4 linked regions of the Saccharomyces cerevisiae S288C genome follow. Changing the gene in region 3 together with the main gene of any one other region gives a genetic interaction. Each region holds a gene or a part of one and is shown on either strand. Other genes may lie near its edges.

What was found.
Region 1: mutations in PYC2 (region 3) and HLJ1 together harm fitness more than expected from each alone (negative genetic interaction), as found in Saccharomyces cerevisiae (2 studies listed by BioGRID).
Region 2: mutations in PYC2 (region 3) and CDC19 are lethal when combined (synthetic lethality), as found in Saccharomyces cerevisiae (2 studies listed by BioGRID, with this or other methods).
Region 4: mutations in PYC2 (region 3) and GRE3 together harm fitness more than expected from each alone (negative genetic interaction), as found in Saccharomyces cerevisiae (2 studies listed by BioGRID).

Annotation. Positions count from the first base shown.
Region 1 is NC_001145.3:575,091-579,316, reverse strand, and holds HLJ1 (type I HSP40 co-chaperone HLJ1), read right to left. Parts: upstream 1,600-4,226; coding exon 925-1,599; downstream 1-924. Other genes in the region: aminophospholipid-translocating P4-type ATPase DNF3, read left to right, coding at 1-366; CVM1 (Cvm1p), read right to left, coding at 1,801-4,226.
Region 2 is NC_001133.9:69,754-74,544, reverse strand, and holds CDC19 (pyruvate kinase CDC19), read right to left. Parts: upstream 2,760-4,791; coding exon 1,257-2,759; downstream 1-1,256. Other genes in the region: YAL037W (uncharacterized protein), read right to left, coding at 1-525; YAL037C-A (uncharacterized protein), read left to right, coding at 1,027-1,119.
Region 3 is NC_001134.8:658,207-664,941, forward strand, and holds PYC2 (pyruvate carboxylase 2), read right to left. Parts: upstream 4,044-6,735; coding exon 501-4,043; downstream 1-500. Other genes in the region: ATG12 (Atg12p), read left to right, coding at 1-186; YBR219C (uncharacterized protein), read right to left, coding at 4,293-4,375, 4,797-5,097; YBR220C (uncharacterized protein), read right to left, coding at 4,789-6,471. UniProt on the Saccharomyces cerevisiae protein: Pyruvate carboxylase catalyzes a 2-step reaction, involving the ATP-dependent carboxylation of the covalently attached biotin in the first step and the transfer of the carboxyl group to pyruvate in the second.
Region 4 is NC_001140.6:321,220-325,577, reverse strand, and holds GRE3 (trifunctional aldehyde reductase/xylose reductase/glucose 1-dehydrogenase (NADP(+))), read right to left. Parts: upstream 2,170-4,358; coding exon 1,186-2,169; downstream 1-1,185. Other genes in the region: YPT35 (Ypt35p), read right to left, coding at 168-812; SBE22 (Sbe22p), read right to left, coding at 2,606-4,358. UniProt on the Saccharomyces cerevisiae protein: Aldose reductase with a broad substrate specificity. Reduces the cytotoxic compound methylglyoxal (MG) to acetol and (R)-lactaldehyde under stress conditions.

The sequences.
Region 1 (4,226 bases), on a different chromosome or scaffold from region 3:
TGGGATAAAGATCCCAGTACTTTCACAAGGTACACAGACAAAGTTCTTTCAAGGCCAAGAACTAATTCACGTGCAAGTGCAAAAACTCATAACAGCAGCATATATTCAATGTCAAATGGGAATGTAGACCATTCCTCAAAAAAAAATTTCTTTGGAAACTCTTCTAAAAAGAGCTCTGAACGATACGAGGTATTACCTAGTGGCAAGTTAATCAAGCGACCATCCTTGAAAACACAAAGCAGTAAAGACAGTATTGGCGGCAATATAACTACTAAACTGACGAAGAAACTGAAGCTTCCATCGAGGAATGTGGAAGATGAAGATGTGAACCAGATTATTCAGGCAAGGCTAAAGGATCTGGAGTAATTCTCGTGATCTTGTTTAATTACATTATTGAGAACATTTTTATATATATACCTTTTATTGGAAATTAGTAGCGAGCTTAGAAGACTTACTTGATTTGTTGAGTCGAATATTATTTCGGCATCCACACATTAGAAAATTAACAAGATGTATTTTGAGAGAAAGCAAGGCACAACGCATGGGAAATCTTCACAAATTTTAAATACTATCTATAAACTAACTCTAATTATAAAAGTGGCTTGATTACTTTCGGTGTCAAAAGAAAAAGTAAATGTATGGCGTAAATGCTATGATTAGTTATCAGAAAATAAAGATGTTTATAAGTATTATACTGTCTGATTTAATTTCCTCGATATATTAAAATTCTAATACCATTATGTCCTTCTGGTAAACTGTGGAACAAAATAAAACATAGCCAGGAAGCCTGAAGGAATGACCTAAATGTCATCTAGTATACAAATGCGTTTTTTCAATTTTGCTTGCTCCTTGTAGTTTTATTTTATAGTACAACTTTGACTAACGTTGGAAAATAATAAAAAAATGACAGTAAAAATATTGTGTTTAACTAAACAGGTAATCTTTAATCATAGGAAGAACAATAAAGATGATGAAAAGAACGAGCATATTTTTTAATTGCGAATTCACTGCATTTTCTTCTGCTTGTTGTTGCTGCTGTCTTGAGCGGGGTTGTTGACGCATGAACGGTGAGCCACCACGATTATTAGTATAAACTCTGAAACCACCGGGGCCTCCAAATGAAAAAGTGGAAGCAGAAGGCCCAAATGGTGAAGCGCCGAATGGGCTGCCGCCTGCGTTGAACAAAAAGTCGAATATGTCCTCTGGTGGTCCAGCTCTTTGACCACCGAAACGTGAATTGAAAAACATGTCTTCAAATCCGCCACCCATTGGAGACCCACCTGCACTTCCTCGGAACCCTGAAGCAGCACCTCTGGATGGCATTTGTCTATCGTCAGGATCCCTACCTATCCTGTCATAAATACTGCGCTTTTCCTCATTGCTTAGTACTTCAAATGCCCTATTAATTACTTTGAAAGCTTCTCCCGCTTTTGGATGAGAGTTTTTATCAGGATGCAATTTGATTGCTAGTTTTCTGTATGCCTTCTTGATCTCACTATCTGTGGCTTTCCTATCTACCTTCAAAATTTCGTAAAACTCATGCTTGTCTTTTGACAGTATTTCTAGCGCGATTTTTTCTTGATCCTCAGTGAAAGACATGTTCTTCCTATTATAGACCTTCCACAAGTTATATTGCAGAAACAGCGTTGCTGCTATTATGGCTTCTGGAAGTAGAGGTGTATGAAAAGAACTTCTGCCAGCTTCCTTTATGTTCTTCACGAATACTTTCCAGCCTACTCTGCGGGTTACCCACTATACAAATACCATAATATGTTACGCGGTCCGCTATATACGAATCTACTATGTACGTCGAACATCATTAATCAAGTTTTTGGGGTTGTCATACATGGCTAAAACGCTCAGGATATCACGTAGGTGTTTCAAACCCCTTGTTGGTGGAGACCAATCCTGGTAAGTTCGCCAAATCTCTGTTAATCTTCTCAAAGCTTCCACGGTGTCCCTCTGAAAAACAGGGCCAGAAGTACTCGTGGTACTATCCAAGAAGCAGTTTAATGAGATGGAGAGCCTCAACGCATGTGGTATCTCTCGCTGCGGTAAATTTTTCAATTGAATCAATTTGGAGAAGGAATCATGAATTTTCCATACCAAATCATATTGATTGACAGTATTCAATATGCTTGTAGGAGTGTCGAGGTCGATGTTTAAACGTAAATGCTTACGACTTAATGGGTTTTTCGTGAATATTGTATTGTACAGAAAGCATTTATAGACTTTATCGTCATCATAAATGTCTGAATATATCCTTACGAAATCCGAAGATTTTTCGTTTTGATACTGCACAAACTGCAAAAAATCCTTTACCGTAGAAATATTCTCTGGCAATAATGATTCCGATGATGAACCGAGACTTTCACCCTCCCTTTGGTCGTAATTGAGTTGATGACCATTCATTTTCCACTTACTGTCCATTTCTTGAAGCCAGATTTTGTTGCTGTTCTGGTACTGTTTCCTAATATTTGGAGGCAATGTGTAATCATTAAATGACCTTGAAATAAAAAAAGGACTTAGTAAATTAATTATGGGAATAAATTGTTTATATCCTAAATTCTCCGTTATCATCAAAATATCCCATAAGGTTATTTCGAAAAGTCTGTTGGTGGGAATCTTCAATCTCGATTCAAAATTAGGGGTCCTTACATGGACGTCATTAATGTTACTAGTTGCTTCATCATCGGTATCAAGGTTTAAATTATTAGCATTCTTTAAATCAATGCCCATGTACTTCCCATTGCACCATAAATTTCTCAAGATTTTAGGGTGATTATAATCTATAGCAAGTTTTTCTGAAATTGTCATAAAATTATCATAAAGCTTACCAAAAAATGTCAGTCGAAACGTATCCCAATTGAACAAGAGCCAATCCAATGCATCCTGAACTAGTTTAGATTCACTAGAATCTATCCGCCTATAATTTTTGATTTTAGATAATGTGTCTTGTTGCTTTTTGTCAATGCCCTGAAATAACTGTTTTTCTTTGATTTGTTGGCTCTTCGTTGTGAAATCATTATTTGAATCATGATCATTACTATCATTTTCGTTAGTACTGGAATTGGAACCCAAGTTATTATAACTATTGCTAGTAAAGTCAGTGCTGTGGTCCCAAAATCGATAGCCTTGTAAACATGACTGGAAACTCAATACACTCACTGTAGTGTTTTCATCAAACTCTAGAACTTCATTATTTTGCACGATATATTTCGCTAATAGCAAAGTTAAGGGAACGCTGTGATAAACGCCCACAAAAAAAATTGAATCTACCTCTTTGAAAAGATGAGCCCAGTGGTTCAGTAACTCTACACATTCTTTATATGTAGGTATTAAATCTTGATTATGCAGTGGGCACTGGAACGATAGGGTCAAGACTCTTTGAGGTTGTTCTTGCGCTAGATTTTGTGACAATTTTCTAGAAAGATAATAAGCCGATCTTTGTGATTCTAATGAGCGCTGCTCATACTTTTCTGGTAAATCCCCCACGACGGATATTATAATAATTCTCTTATCCTTCAGTAATGCGGTTTTTTTTTGTCTTAAATAGAGATGTTGCTCATTAGGGAAGTTATAGTAATTTTTGATAGTATTCAATACCTTAGTTCTTAGTGGTTGGACGTGCAGAAAATTCAAAGGGTTATCTGATGGTAGGATTAAAGAATCATTAATAAATACATTATACCCAGGGTTACCTCCCTCCCCAGGATATTTGTTTAATGGCAATGGGCATTTGGCTGATCCTGTACCAGAGACACTGATTATTCCTGGGGTATCTATGGAATCAATTATGTTTGATGAATTTGATATATGTGGAATTGCTTCGTACCAACACCATGATTTCGACTTTTTTGAAATTATATCCTTAGCCTCATTTTCCAAGAAGTTGATTTGTTCAGTGTTTAGTTGAGAGTAGCGGGTATTATCATCAACAACAATTGGGGCACTTCTATATCTGGATGTTGCAAAAGAAGCGATTTTAGACCATATCCCTTTATTGTCATTATTCGAGTTCACGCTATCTTGAAAATCCGTTGTCGGACTACTCCTTCCTTGTCCATTAGGATATTCTGCAATTCTTCCCGTGTTTGGCTCATCGTCGGCAGTGGAATTCCACCAGGGTTTCCATCTGTTTTGTTGTCGTGGACGTTGGGGTGGGACTTCCTGCTGGTCCTCTCGTATCTGCTGCTGCTCTTGTGTTTGATGCTGCAACTGTTTAT
Region 2 (4,791 bases), on a different chromosome or scaffold from region 3:
TGCGCAATCATAGGAATGTGATGATATAACCAAGATATTTCCAAAATGACTAAATGACTTAAAGAGTGCCAACAGATCGTTGAATGCCTGGTACTGTACCAAGGGCTCACCACTGAGGACATTCGAATTACAAAACTGGGGCAGTGATTGGATTGTATCGGTTTGTGCCTGTGTTAAAGATGTTTTTATCTTTTTGCCCATCTGCAAGTACTGTCCAACGAATTTCTGTAGTAGTATTGTATTGTTTCGTATATACAAATCAATTGCGGCCTTCTTTGTTGCTACTGCTGCTGTAGTTGGTGAGCAAAGATTCACGACTACCGAATTAGAGTTCCTGAAATACTGGGTATAAAACGACGCTATCTTTTCAGTACTTAGATTGACACCAATGATGAACTTAATATTTTCATATTGCAAAAGAATAGGTTGTGTCAATATCTCACAGGGTCCAAAATAAACATTGGTATCCAGTTTTTGTAACTTCAGGTCATCTATGGGGCTTGAATCTTCGATTTCCATATCCATAGCAGTGTTATTTCCTTTGCTTTTTGCGTAATTATTGGCACTATGTCACTGATTATATAAGCCACTTCAGTTTTCTTCCCATCTAATTAATTTTTCTTCGAAACACATTCTGTAAATAAGGGATTATGTTATGAAAAGAATACGTACTAGATGGCTAGAAGAATAGGACGGAGTAGCACTTATCGTTTCTGATAAGAGGATCAATCCTTTGAAATCTTGAAACGCGAATAAATTTAGGACACTAATTGAATCTGCCCGCGTCATTTTTTATAAAAAATAGATTAAACCACCAAACGAAGGCCAGAAGCTGAACATAGTTCACTGGCATCTGCATTTATGTACCCATGTATAACCTTCCAAGTTAGTTCTTGGGAAACGAAAATTATATTGAATTTTTTATTGAATTTTTAGCGTATCCTTTCGCCATCCTGATAATCATGATAACCTTGAGGGAAGATTATCTTGCGATGGGAGGGATCAAATTTAGCAAATTTTGACTCTATGTCAATCTCGTTTCCAAAAATGCAACACCTCATCGTTATGACGACAATTGGAGACAAAAAGGTTAACAATAACATAATACTCTTTTTATAGAATACCTTATAAAATGTATGTTATTTAAGTAACTTATAAATCTTTATTTGAGTTGAAAAGAAAAACCATGTCTTTATATAAAATTTAAAAAATATAATTCAAAAAAATAATATCTTCATTCAATCATGATTCTTTTTTTAAACGGTAGAGACTTGCAAAGTGTTGGAGTGACCAGCACCGGCCTTGAAACCTTGGATGGAAACGTAAGTGTCACCCTTCTTCAAGATACCGAATTCCTTAGCCTTTTCAATACCGAAGTTGATACGGGCTTCAACATCATCAGTCCAGTCAGAGACAGGTTCCTTTTCGAAAACGAATGGGAAGACACCTCTGTACAAGTGAGAGAATCTAGCAGCTCTTGGGCATCTGGTAACCAAGATGATTGGACAGTTTGGTCTGTACTTGGAAACCAATCTTGGGGTGGTACCGGAAGTGGACAAGACAATGATAGCCTTGGCCTTTTGTTCGAAAACAGCAGCGACAGCGGAGGCAGCGACGGTTTCGGTGGTGGAGGTTGGCTTTGGAGTACAGTTTCTCATGTCATCGTAGTTTGGCAAGTAAGCGATAGCTTGTTCAGCAATGACAGCGGTTTCAGCCATAGTGGTAACGGCGTTGATTGGGTAGTTACCCTTGGCGGTTTCACCAGACAACATAACACAGTCAGCACCATCCAAGATAGCGTTACCGACATCGGAAACTTCAGCTCTGGTTGGTCTTGGGTTGTAAGTCATGGATTCCAACATTTGGGTAGCACAGATAACTGGCTTACCAGCCAAGTTAGACTTAGCAATCAATTTCTTTTGGACAGCCAAGACTTCTGGGGCTGGGATTTCAATACCCAAGTCACCTCTGGCAACCATAACACCGTCAGTGACCTTCAAGATTTCGTCGAAGTTGTTAACACCTTGTTGGTTTTCAATCTTGACAATGATCTTGACGTCCTTACCTTGTTCACCCAAGACTTCTCTGATGGTCAAAACATCGTTGGCGGTTCTGATGAAAGAAGCGAAGACCATGTGGACACCGTTCTTGACACCGAATCTCAAATCTTCCTTGTCCTTTTCAGACAAAGCTGGCAAATCGACATCGGTACCTGGTAAGTTGACACCCTTGTGGGAACAGATCTTACCGGCGTTCAAAGCCTTGACCTTCAAAGTCTTGTCGTCAACGACTTCCAAAACTTGGAAAGACAAAACACCATCATCAACGTAGATGATTCTACCAGCGGAGATGACCTTGGTGATGTTCTTGTAGTCAACGTACATGATCTTGTCGTCACAAGCCTTAGCGTACTTGTCATCGGTGGTGAAGATCATTTCGTGGTTTGGTGGGATTGGGTAGTCAACATCGTTGGTGGTGGTACCAGTTCTGATTTCTGGACCCTTGGTGTCCAAAGCAATGGCCAATGGTCTACCTGGGTACAATTCTTCGGACTTTCTGGCGTTGTCAATGACAGACTTGTGGTATTCGTAAGAACCGTGAGAGAAGTTCATACGGACAATGTTCAAACCAGCCTTTCTCAAAGCAACCAAGGTTTCTGGGTTGTTGGTCTTTGGACCGATGGTACCAATGATGGAGGTTCTTCTCAAGTCAGAACCAGCAACAACGTTTAATGAGGTCAATCTTTCTAATCTAGACATTGTGATGATGTTTTATTTGTTTTGATTGGTGTCTTGTAAATAGAAACAAGAGAGAATAATAAACAAGTTAAGAATAAAAAACCAAAGGATGAAAAAGAATGAATATGAAAAAGAGTAGAGAATAACTTTGAAAGGGGACCATGATATAACTGGAAAAAAGAGGTTCTTGGAAATGAAAAGTTACCAAAGAGTATTTATAATTCAGAAAAAAAAGCCAACGAATATCGTTTTGATGGCGAGCCTTTTTTTTTTTTTAGGAAGACACTAAAGGTACCTAGCATCATATGGGAAGGAAAGGAAATCACTTGGAAGACATCACAAGCATTCATTTACCAAGAGAAAAAATATGCATTTTAGCTAAGATCCATTGAACAAAGCACTCACTCAACTCAACTGAATGAACGAAAGAAGAAAGAACAGTAGAAAACACTTTGTGACGGTGCGGAACACATTTACGTAGCTATCATGCTGAATTCTACTATGAAAATCTCCCAATCTGTCGATGGCAAAACGACCCACGTGGCAGAGTTGGGTCAAGTGCCAGTTTCTGGATTAAGTAACAGATACAGACATCACACGCCATAGAGGAATCCCGCCGTTGCGAGAGATGGAAAACAATAGAGCCGAAATTGTGGAAGCCCGATGTCTGGGTGTACATTTTTTTTTTTTCTTTCTTTCTCTTTCAATAATCTTTCCTTTTTCCATTTAGCTTGCCGGAAAAACTTTCGGGTAGCGAAAATCTTTCTGCCGGAAAAATTAGCTATTTTTTTCTTCCTTATTATTTTTTTAGTTCTGAAGTTTGACCAGGGCGCTACCCTGACCGTATCACAACCGACGATCCGGGGTCATGGCGGCTATTTTTTTTTTTTTTTTTTTTTTCCTTGTGATTGTTTATTTACATTTGGATCAATTCTAACAAAAAAAAAATAAGGGGGGAAAAATAATTCACCTCTTTTTAATATTGTTTTGTACTGAGATTAATCTCCAAAATACTAGCATTGACACACATCTCAAGTCATCTCAAATAAAGTCGGAAAACCCCCCCTTTCCAAATAATTGAGGTGACGTTGCCATGAACAGGGAAGCAGAATTTGATTCGAAGACTAAGACCAAGCATACCCATTCTCATTTGGTCCTTTCTTTATTTTTACTTCAACTCCCTTAACGTTCGGAGAAAAACTCTGGTTATTCTTCATGCGATATAATTGGCGAAAAAAATCTTGTCTCATACGTAAAAAGTATTAAAAAAATTGCCCATTTTGTGCCCGCAGACAACTGCAACCTATCTTCAAAAGCCGAAAAGGAGGTTTTCTTCTTATTCGCTGGACAGACCCTCTTTTTTGCTGTTGCTTTATTTTTTATGTTTAGAAACAAAATTTCCCCGAGAGAAAGGGAAAATATGTGGAAAAAGAAAAAGCACTTCCTTACCAAACGTCATTCCATCCATGAAATACTTGGCCGATTGAACTTTTCATTTGGTCCAAATATGGAAGTGATAAACGATCTTACTCCAACGTAGATAAAACATTGATAGTAGCCCTAACTGATATTATGGCAAGTCGGCCACACCGCTCATTAGGACAATTCCTTTTTTTCCTTTTTTTTTCTTCTCACTTTTCGGCTATCGGAGCCTTTGATTTAATCGCCGGTGCCTACGTCTTTGGTGTGTATCATATCGGTCTTGAGTCCCATACTACATGCTCTGCTAATAATAGTCATGCAAGTAATAAAGGTAATTTATGGTGAGGGAGGCTTAGGAATATCTAATACTAAGTGCCTAAAACATCAGCAGCAATACAACAATACAACAATGCAACAGGTTCAAAGGAAATAATCAGCAACGCTTTCAAGGGAGCAAGTTGTGGTTTACAACACCTACAATTCTTTCAAGACGTTTGCAACACTGCGACAAAAGTGTGACCGAATTACAAATTTAGAAGGCAAAAAAAAAAAAAAAGAAAAAAAAGTTGTACGTATGGTAGCGCCGCATATACTATGTAGTAGTAATATTGAAATATCTCTTGCGCGGCGT
Region 3 (6,735 bases):
ATGTCACAGTCTTTTGCAATGGTTATTTTATTTCTTAAGAGACGGCTGAAAATGGACCATGTTTATTGTTATATAAATAATTCGTTTGCGCCAAGTCCGCAGCAAAATATTGGTGAACTTTGGATGCAATTCAAGACTAATGATGAGCTTATTGTAAGTTATTGTGCATCCGTAGCGTTTGGTTAAATACCCGGGCGCTGGAATGGTCTAAGAAGAAAACCTACAGTCGATCAAAAATCCCGTACGATATTAAATAGAGTAGTTAACGTACTTGAGCGTTATAAACTCACATTTTCACTCAAGAAGAAAATGGAGAATGGAGACATGGTAAGTGAAAGCATTAAGGAAGAAACACAGTTAGCACGTATTTCATCGAAAGTGTTTGATTACTTTCTATTTGGCATTTAAATATACATGGGAACATAACTAGATAAAATATACGCCATATATAGTACAGCTAGTATTTTCAGATGTCATAAAATATAATTAACGAGTAAAAATTACTTTTTTTGGGATGGGGGTAGGGTTTCTTCTTCTAGGACAACCAACAAATCTGATGCGTCAACACTTTCACCATCCTTAATGAAAACGTCTTTAACTTGACCATCTGCTGGTGAAGAGACAACCATTTCCATTTTCATGGCACTCAAAACAGCAATCGATTCGCCCTTTTTCACCAAAGACCCTTTATGTACTTTAACTTCTATGATAACACCAGCCATTGGTGCACCGATTTGGTGAGTATCGTGGACATCAGCCTTTGGTTTAGCAACAGATTGTATGTTTTGTGACTTGTCTGCAACTCTGATCTTTCTTAATTCACCGTTCAATTCAAAATACACTTCTCTTTGCCCAGTTTTCTTATTTAAGTCACCAACAGCTTGCAATTTGATAATCAAAGTCTTACCTTGTTCGATGGTGACTTCGATTTCTTCATCAGGTTCTGCTGGTGCTAGGAAATTTTTGGTTGGTAGAACTGATAAATCACCGTATGTTTCTCTGATCTTTTGGAAATCTTCATAGACCCTTGGATACATATTGTAAGAAGCAACATCGCATTCATCAATATCACCGAATCTGTTCTGCAAGTCTTCTCTAATTTTTTCGAGATCAAATGGTTCTAATTCTAAACCTGGACGGCACGTCAACTTTCTTCTCTTGTTTCTCAATACATCAGATCTTAATGGTTCTGGGAACCCACCGTATGGTTGACCAATTAAACCTTCAAAAAAGTCCATAACAGAGTCAGGAAAGTCCAAAGAATTAGCTAAACGTCTAATATCGTCGGAAGTCAGTTTGTTAGAAACCATGAATTGAGCTAAATCACCGACAACCTTAGAAGTTGGGGTAACTTTAACAATATCTCCCAGTAGGTAATTGGCTTCTCTGTAAGCTCTTTTAGTTTCAGCCCATTGTTCACCAAGACCCAGTTGTTGAGCTTGGAATAACAAGTTAGTCAATTGACCACCTGGGATTTCATGTTGGTAAACTTCTGGATCTGGTCCCTTCAAGTCGGCCTCGAAACAAGAATACAACAGTCTCATTTCGGCCCAGTATGCATCTAATTCACGAACATGCTCAACGTTAATCCCAGTATCAATGTTACCTTCTAATGAAGCCAACAGTGCATTAATTGATGGTTGGGAAGTTAAGCCCGACATTGAATTGATAGCTACATCGACAACATCAGCACCTGCTAGGGCACATGCAGTCATAGACGCAACAGCAGTACCTGCGGAGTCATGACTGTGAACATGAATTGGTAAATCCGGATATCTGGTTCTTAGGGAGCCAATTAATAATTTGGCAGCGGCCGGTTTCATAGTACCTGCCATATCCTTAATACCCAAGATATGTGTACCCATTTGAACTATTTTTTCAACAACTTCTAGGTAGTAGTCTAAGTTGTATTTCTTACCTGGCTGAAGCATGTCACCAGAGTAACAAACAGTAGCTTCGACAACACCACCGGCCTTCTTGACAGCATTCACACCAACTTTTAATTGTTCTAAATCATTCAAGGCATCAAAAACTCTAAATATATCAACACCATTATCCTTGGCTTGCTTGACAAAATGGTCAATAGCATTGTCAGGTAATGAAGAGTAAGCCACACCGTTGGCACCACGTAATAACATTTGGAATGGAATATTAGGCACCAGAGATCTTAATTTTCTCAGACGTTCCCATGGATCCTCATGCAAGAATCTCATTGCAACGTCGAATGTAGCACCACCCCAACATTCTAAAGCGAAAGCACCTGCAAGGGCATGTGCGGTTGTTGGAGCGATTGTAGCCAAATCGTGGGTTCTGACTCTTGTTGCAAGTAGAGATTGATGAGCGTCTCTCCAGGTGGTGTCCATCAGTAGAGTACCATTGAACTGTCTGACTTGCTTGGCAAATTCAGATGGTCCCTTTTCCAGTAGCACTTGTCTCCATCCGGATGGTGGTGCAGACTTTGTAACGTTGATGACATTGCCCTGAGCATCGTGCAAATGGGGGACACTTGGATTTGATTTTAGTTTTGGCAAGCCAATTTGACCCTTAATAGAAGAACCGTTAACTGCCAAGTCTGCCAAATAGTGTAACAGTTTTTGCGCTCTGTTTTGTGACGATACCATTTGGAACAGTTGTGGGGTGTCGTCAATAAAAGTCGTCCAGTATGTACCCTCAATAAAAACTGGATTGGTCAAAAGAGTCAATAGGAAGGGAATGTTGGTCTTAACACCTCTGATTCTGAATTCGATCAGGGCACGAATCATCTTCCTACGGACGATTTCATAAGTAGAACCAGAGCATGAACATTTGACCAGCATTGAGTCGTAGTGAGGCGAGATAGTAGCACCTGCATAAGCGTTACCACCGTCCAATCTCACACCATTACCACCGGCAGAACGATAGACCTCCAGGCGACCGGTATCCGGTTGGAAATTCTTAGAGGGATCTTCAGTGGTAATACGACATTGGATGGAAAACCCACGGGTGGTGATTTTATCCTGTAATAGACCTAGTTGAGTCAAAGTGGCACCTGCGGCAATCTGGATTTGGGCAGAAACAATGTCAATACCGGTGATTTCTTCAGTGATGGTATGCTCCACTTGAATTCTTGGATTAATTTCAATGAAATAGTGTCTGTTTTGGTTGTCAACCAAGAATTCGGCGGTACCTGCGTTTCTGTAACCACATACCTTAGCTAATTTAACAGCATCTGTCAAAATAGCGTCACGAACTTCACGGGGCAAAGTCTTTGCTGGAGCGACTTCGACAACTTTTTGGTGTCTTCTTTGCACAGAACAGTCTCTTTCGAAAAGATGAACCACGTTTCCGTGGTTATCAGCCAACAATTGAACTTCAATATGCTTTGGCTTGTCCAAGAATCTTTCCACAAAGCAGGTACCATTACCGAAGGCAGTACGGGCTTCGGAGGTAGCACGTTGAAAGGCATCTGCCACGTCGTCACCTTCTCTAACGACTCTCATACCTCTACCACCACCACCAAAGGCGGCCTTAATGATCACCGGGTAGCCGTATTCATTAACGAAGTCAAGTGCCTCTTGCACAGTTTCGATAGGTCCTGGAGTACCGGGAACGGTAGGAACGTTAGCTCTTGCTGCCAAGTGTCTGGCAGAGACTTTGTCACCCACAGAGTCAATAACTTCAGCTGGAGGGCCGATCCAAGTGATACCGGCCTTCACTACTTTGTCGGCAAATTCCGAATTTTCAGACAAGAACCCATAACCTGGATGGATGAAATCCACCTTATGCTTCTTTGCAATTTCGATGATCTCGTCCATTGCCAAGTAAGCACCCACAGGTGTATACTGGCCCTCCTCCCCGATAACATACGCTTCGTCCGCCTTCAACCTGTGCATTGAAAGACGGTCCTCATGGGAGTATATGGCGATGGTTCTCATAGACAGCTCATGAGCAGATCTAAAAATTCTAATCGGAATTTCACCTCTATTGGCGACCAAGATCTTATTCTTTTCGCCGAGCAAACTGAAATTGTCCCTAAGACCGGCCAATTTCTTGCTACTGCTCATATTTTATTTTGTTCTCTATGTCCCTTATTTTCTCTCCTAGTAACTGTCCTTTATTTTGCAATATAGTAATTGGCAAAAAAATCAAACTCAAATGACGGGCCACAGATAGTAAGCTACAAGAGTTTGGAAGAAAAGAGGGGCTTGTTTATGTATGTAATCAAGTAAGGATACCGAAAGTAAGAGAAAAGAAAAAAGGACTAAAAATCACAGAAACACAATAGGAAATATCCGATGGGGAGTACTTCTTACTTAACACTCCCTGCGCCAATTCTGACTCTTATAATAAATAGCTCGAGACGTAACTGCCAAAATTGTAAAAAAAAAATGAAAAACTATTAGAAAATTAATTGCGAAAAAAAAAAGGTTAGTCATATGTGCCTTTGCGGCGTCTTCCGCAGGAAGGACCCCTCTCTGCCAATCACAGAAGAGCTGGCTGTGCCTGTGCGGTACGCTATCAGCAGCTGCGTCGGGTAAGGGACACGTCGTTAGTGACAATCGTGGTTAGTTTTCGTACAGAAAGATGACCTTAATTGATAATTAAAGTATAGAAATGTCGTATAGTATATTTTTCCCTTGCATGGAAAAAACTGGGATAATGTGATGATTCTCATTAACAGATTTACACTGGTATTGATACTCATTTTGTTTCTGCTTCCTGTAGTACATAAAAAGATCTTGTAAATATTACGATACTCGTTAAAATTTTCTTGAACGTAATGTCGTACAATTCTTGTTTGAGGGGTCGTTACGTACATCTCCAGGAACTGATTGGCAGACTTTGTAAATGGAGGATTTTCCTTTTCAAATATCCAAAATATAGGAAAAGTCCGACTACAATACATATGAGATTGGTGATGTAATAGCCGTCACGCAGGATGGTCACGGTGCCATTCAAAAGCTCGGTGCACGCTTGCATGCTGCCGCCGTGAGTTACGTATACTTTATTTGTGCCAGGAATAGTGCACTGATACACGGTGAAGTAGTTGATCATGGACATAATGATTAACCGCGGCCATGTCCCACCGAAGTTGCTGAGGGTATTTAACAATGTCATATATGTGCCACCCAGCACGGGGTCTGCAACTCTTGTATGGAAGGCCGATATTCCAATGAACTGGACAGTATTCATGAAGGAACCTAAGAGGTGCTGGAATATCACGAGACAAAAATAACCCGTGGATATTTCACCATCCTTGGGGAATTGCTTCACCACGTAACTTCCCAAGACCGCGGCTGCCAGACGGCCCAAAAAGCCCCACAACCATGGTGTTAAAACGCCGGCATCCCCAACTAAGAACTTGATGACCTTGTTGGTGCCCGTGCTGTTTCTTAATCTTCTATTGTCACGAATCATGGGGTCCTTGTCGGAGCTCCATTTAACAACATAGTACCCAAATATGATTTCGAACGGCAGGTCTATGAGTACTGTCACAGCCAAGTCTTCTCTTTTGAAGCCTTGCTCTAGTAGTTTCAGGTTTGTGGCGGCTTCGTTGCATTGAAAGGCAAATTTCGAAATCATGTGAATGAAGGCTAGGCTTCTTACGGACTTCAATTTCAACACTTTTATAAAGCAGCGGTAAATGTACTTTATACTGCTTGTATTCTGAGTTGACACCACATCACCGTCGTCATACTCAATACTTATCGGCTTTGACCCTCCGTCACTTGTATTTATGGGCTCCACTTTGGGCAAATACTCTACGTAGGGTTTTTCCTTGGTGCAAAAGATGATATATATGGTTATTACAATGTAAAGCATGCCCGAGAATTTCATGTACCCACCAAGACTAATGAACCCGTGATCCAGTGGGATGTTTCTGAAATACTTATTGGCGAAATCAGAGGAATTCAACGACAGGAAAATGGTAAATGACATAAAATAACCAATATTCAAACCTATTGTTTGCGCGGTAGATGCATATGATAGGGATTCTTTGGACAAAATCGTCAACGCCCAACCATCAACTGCGATGTCTTGAGTGGCACACAGAAAAACTAACAGGCCAAACCACCACGTCAAATTTTTTATACTGACACTGTGTAAAGTGCCATTACCGCGATTATGGAACGCATCGTCGACACCATCGAAGATTATGCCTTGTGATATGCACCACCCTAATGCCCATAGCACAAATCCACTAACAAATTGTACTGGAATGATCCATGATCTTCTTCTACCGATGCGCTTGTTGTACAGTGAGTCTACTATTGGTGACCATATGATCTTTAAAGAATATGGATATGTAGCCATAGAGAAAATTCCCAGTGATGTAAACGAGGTCTCCTTTGCTAAAGATTTCAGTAGAAACGGTACGGTACCGAAGGCCAATCCTACAGGTATGCCTTGAGCCAAATATAACATAATTAAAAGATAAAATTGCGGCAAATCATGCTTGGCTAGTGACCCGCTCTTTCGCTTAGGTTCCATGCCTACTTTTGTTTTATCCCCCTATAACTATGGTATATTATACTGCCTCACCAAACGTTTAGGTCTTGCTTCTGCTTCCCACAGTAGCTTACGCATTATAGCCGATTTATTTTTCACTTATTTTCGCATGCCAGAGTATCTTTATTTTCTTTCTTTCATTCAGCCTGTCGTCGAAAAGAAAAAAAAGAAAATAAATATGTGCGTATTCTAACCATGAAACAGGAACTCATTCAATGTGCACAGTACTTATCTCATTCAATTTTG
Region 4 (4,358 bases), on a different chromosome or scaffold from region 3:
TGTGGAGTCCGTTTCGTTCTTCCTTTAATGTTGGACGATCCCCTAAAAGTTTTCATTGCGGTCAGCTCAAGGCATTCCCCATCGAGTGATTAATTAACAACGCGCCCGAGTTAAATGGGATAGTAGTAGTCGATGAGAAGAATAGTCGGTTGGATAGGGATGGTGAGCTATGCAACTCGTTTTGAAGGCTCTAGAAACTGTATGAGTATATCTTTGGTCATTTCTACGAGGCTGCTGTTAAGGATGATGTGATTGAGGAAGTACTCGAGCCCTCTCTGTCTTTTTGCCAGCCAGTCCTTGTTCAGATTCACTTCTTGATATTTCCAAGAACTGTACCACTGCACTGAAGGGGGAAGGTGTGGAATCTGCAAACAGTTAAGTTTCTCAGGTTTCGCTGTCTTGATTCTTGTGAGCAAATTCTCTCGTAATCTGACGAAATCGGAGTATCGTTTATAGGTTTGGATTTTATAGCTTTCCCTCTTGGCCGCAAAAGCCTTCAAGTTGGGTTCAAGAAATACGGTAATTCTCCAGACAGCAAACTTTGTTCCATGGTCGCCATTGACTATGGTGCAATCGCTGACATGAGCCTTTTGAAAACTAAAGTTTGCATTGATAGAACTGCTTCGTCTAGGTCTTGTTCTGGTAATTGTGGCACCGCAATCATTACTATGGCTAGTGCTATCATTGCTGTTTGACGCACTGATGGGTCCCTCATTTTCTTGTTGTGAGTCAATGTCGAGTTCAGGCTCCGTGGAGTCTTCGTCAAGTAGTTGGATGGGTTCGGGAGGTAGAAAGGATATCTTGTCGCTCATATCTTGCTGTTGTTTTAGTTGAAATGGAAGCTGCTATTAATATCCCGATAGATATCCGGTTACTCAAATGATTTTGGGACCGCTTTGCTCTCTTGGTGTCTATTTTAGTATCACTCACTCATCGCCCCCACTCGTTTCCCTTTTAATTTCAATTACCGTTGGGTTCTGTTAAAAAATAGCCAAATTGTCAACCATACAAGAGATGAATTAAAAGCGTGGATGACACCACAGGCAGAAAAAGTATATCCAACATTTTATTTAAAGCTGTTCTGTGTCTAAACAGAAGAGCATGTAAAAATTTATACACATATACAGCATCGGAATGAGGGAAATTTGTTCATATCGTCGTTGAGTATGGATTTTACTGGCTGGATCAGGCAAAAGTGGGGAATTTACCATCCAACCAGGTCCATGGATCATTAAATCTGATGTTGGCATTTAGTGCAGAAATATCCTTCAATTCTTGCTCCGTTAAAGTGAACTTTTTTTCGATTTCTAGGTTGCCAAGTAACCTTTCCTTCTTGGAAGATTTTGGAATGACGGCAATGCCTCTCTGAGTTGCCCATCTAAGCAATACTTGGGAAGTGGTACTGCCTGGATGGTTTTGTGAGACCTTCTTGATTACATCATTCTCGAACAGAGTTGGCGTGGTTTTTGCCAACTGTAAGTCCATCTCAATGAATGATTGAGGACCGAAGGAGGAGTAAGCAACTACTTGGATATCGTGTAATTTACAAAACTCAACTAGGTGTTCTTGAGTCAAATAAGGATGGTGTTCAATTTGCAAAGCCACGGGCTTGATTCTACAACCACGTAATAAATCTTGAATCAAGCTTCCCTGAAAGTTGGAAACACCAATAGACTTAATCAAGCCTTCATCAACACATTCTTCCAGAGCCCGGTACGTATCTATGATTGGTACATGTGCTTCGGTGATGTGACCTTTCTTCTCGTCATCTGCGCCCGTATAGAATCCTGGAGGGTATTTCTCTTCAAATGGAACATATTTGAAGGCGATTGGGAAGTGAATATAATACAGGTCTAAATAATCAAGTCCCATATCGCTTAAGGTCTTCTTTAAAGCTAATTTTACATGATCAGGATGGTGAAAATTGTTCCATAACTTTGAAACAACAAATATATCCTTTCTAGAAACAAGACCTTCGGAGATGGCTTTCCTGATACCTTCACCAACTTCCTTTTCGTTGCCGTAGTCGCAAGCACCATCGAATAAACGGTAGCCTAATTTGATAGCTTCATAAATTTGATTCGCACAGACTTTTTTGTCAATTTTCCAGCACCCTAAGCCGACTAGGGGCATTTTCAGACCGTTATTAAGAGTAACCAGTGAAGACATCTTTAAAAAATTTCCAATTTTCCTTTACGATTTATATTACAGTATTTTCCCAATCGTCTTGAAGGATTGCACTGACAACTATTTGCTTCTATATCCCTTATATACTTCAGTGTACCAGGAGTAATTTACTTGATAGGCCCCCTAGAAGTAGTAACTTCGAGGTTTTTTTTTTTTCCATAAAATTCTTCCGCATGTGGCTTTTCCCTTTTATGACGTATACGTTTACTACCAGCAACAATTGGGAAACAAGTATAGAATCTAGAGTTCCGATAATGAAATATTATAAAAGTTTTATTAAACAGTGAATGTGTAAAGAAAACAAACAACTATATGCTGAGGAGACTTCTAAATATATGCTGAGGAGTTTTCCTTGGGCTCCCTTTTAATCCAGTTTTTTTTTTCTTGTGCATGAGTGAAATTACAGTTACAAAAAATATCAAAACTTCTTGTAGTAATGCGCCCATTTCTTGATGAACACGGCATTTACAGTATCTGCGTCTACGAATTCATCATTGATGAATACTGGAATGCAAAATCTCTGGTCATTCACGTTACAAAGACTTCTTAAATCAGTGAATCCAAAGTGGTAATTTAACAATACATTTAATGCAAATGAAATCAAGATCTTGTAGTTTATTACCACTTTCTTCGAGCGGTAATATTCCCAATCCTTGTTAACAAACTCATCTTCGTTGATTGGGCTATTTTTGTAGCTCTGGGAATTGTTGACTACTATAATATCCATGATCCACATAAAAAGCTTATGATCAATACGTTCTAGGATGTTCCACCAGGTGGTAGAGTTTATACACTCCGTATTAAATTCATCCTTGAACTCCTCGTTTTGCGATAAATAACCGGCTACGACACCCTTACGTTCTAAAACCTTTGCATCGAACTTTTCTTTACAAAGATCATTAAAACACGTCATTTGTACTAAATTAACAATATTCCAAATCTCGTTTAGCCCCAGGTTCTGAAATGATTCACTCACCAAGAAATGATGGAAAAGGAGTTCATCACCGGTGACTATACCCTGTGATGAGATAGATTTTATCTTCAATAAAAGCATCAAATCAGGACATATATCATGTAAACCGCTCACTTTTCGCCTCAAACTTGTTTCGATTAGCTGCGATATTTCAATTTCCTTGTTTTTAGGAAAGTCTCCCATTTTTGTTAAAAGCTCCTGTAGCTCATGAAATGGTTGAATATAGTTTTTGGTAATAAACCTAGTCTTGCTCTGTAAAATTTCGCTGTAAATTGTTGACCTAGTTTCGTCACTAAATGGAGTGTCCCAAACCATTTTACTTAGGCTTTGTAAGGAGGAGTTTCTAGTTATATCTCTGTCCAATAATAACACATATTTTTGCCTATTTGTTTCATCTCTAATCAACTTTTCTTCTCTGTCTTTATTTTTTCCTAGTTGGTCAAGGGAAGCAACACTCATGCTTTTGTTAATTTGCCTTTCATGAAGCTTTTTTTCCTGGCGATCCTTGGGTGGTAACCAACTCGGTCTTGAATGGCTGACCACATCTAGTTTGTTCTCCGAGACAAGTATCAAATCTTCCATGCCTTGATTTTGAGCTTCTTTTAGTTCAATTGGCAAGAAATCGGAAGACTTTGTTCTTTCGGACAGCTTAGATCTTGAAAGCCTATTGGAAGAATGCAAATAAACAGAGGCTAGACTCTTGGTTGTGTCTTGAATGAACTGAAAATCAGTTACTTTGTTCAAACCTGGAATCGGAGACGTAGGCATCTCATTAAAGTCCAATAATGAGGCGTTTGATGTTGTACTCGCAAAAGAGATGTTCGAGTACCTATGATTTTGTTTTGTATAAGAAATTTCAGAGTTATCATTTACCAAACCTCCGGTATATTCTGATAAGTCATTCTTGCCAGCCAAGTTATTCATATCATCGGGCTTAGCAGACGCTAGAAATGAATTAGTAGATAATGATGCCATAGGAACGTTCCAAATCAACGAATCATCAACGTCTCCCTCTTGTAACTCAAGAATTTGTTCTTGACTATCATAAAATTTCTCTTTTCTTTTGATTGTATTTCTTAAATTCATCTCCGATTGCTCTTTACGAAGTCTGTATTTCTGAGACGGAGTTAATGGCTTGCAATTCAAAGGTTTCTGAGATGGAACGTTAAATTCTAATGACGAAGCCTCTATCCGATCA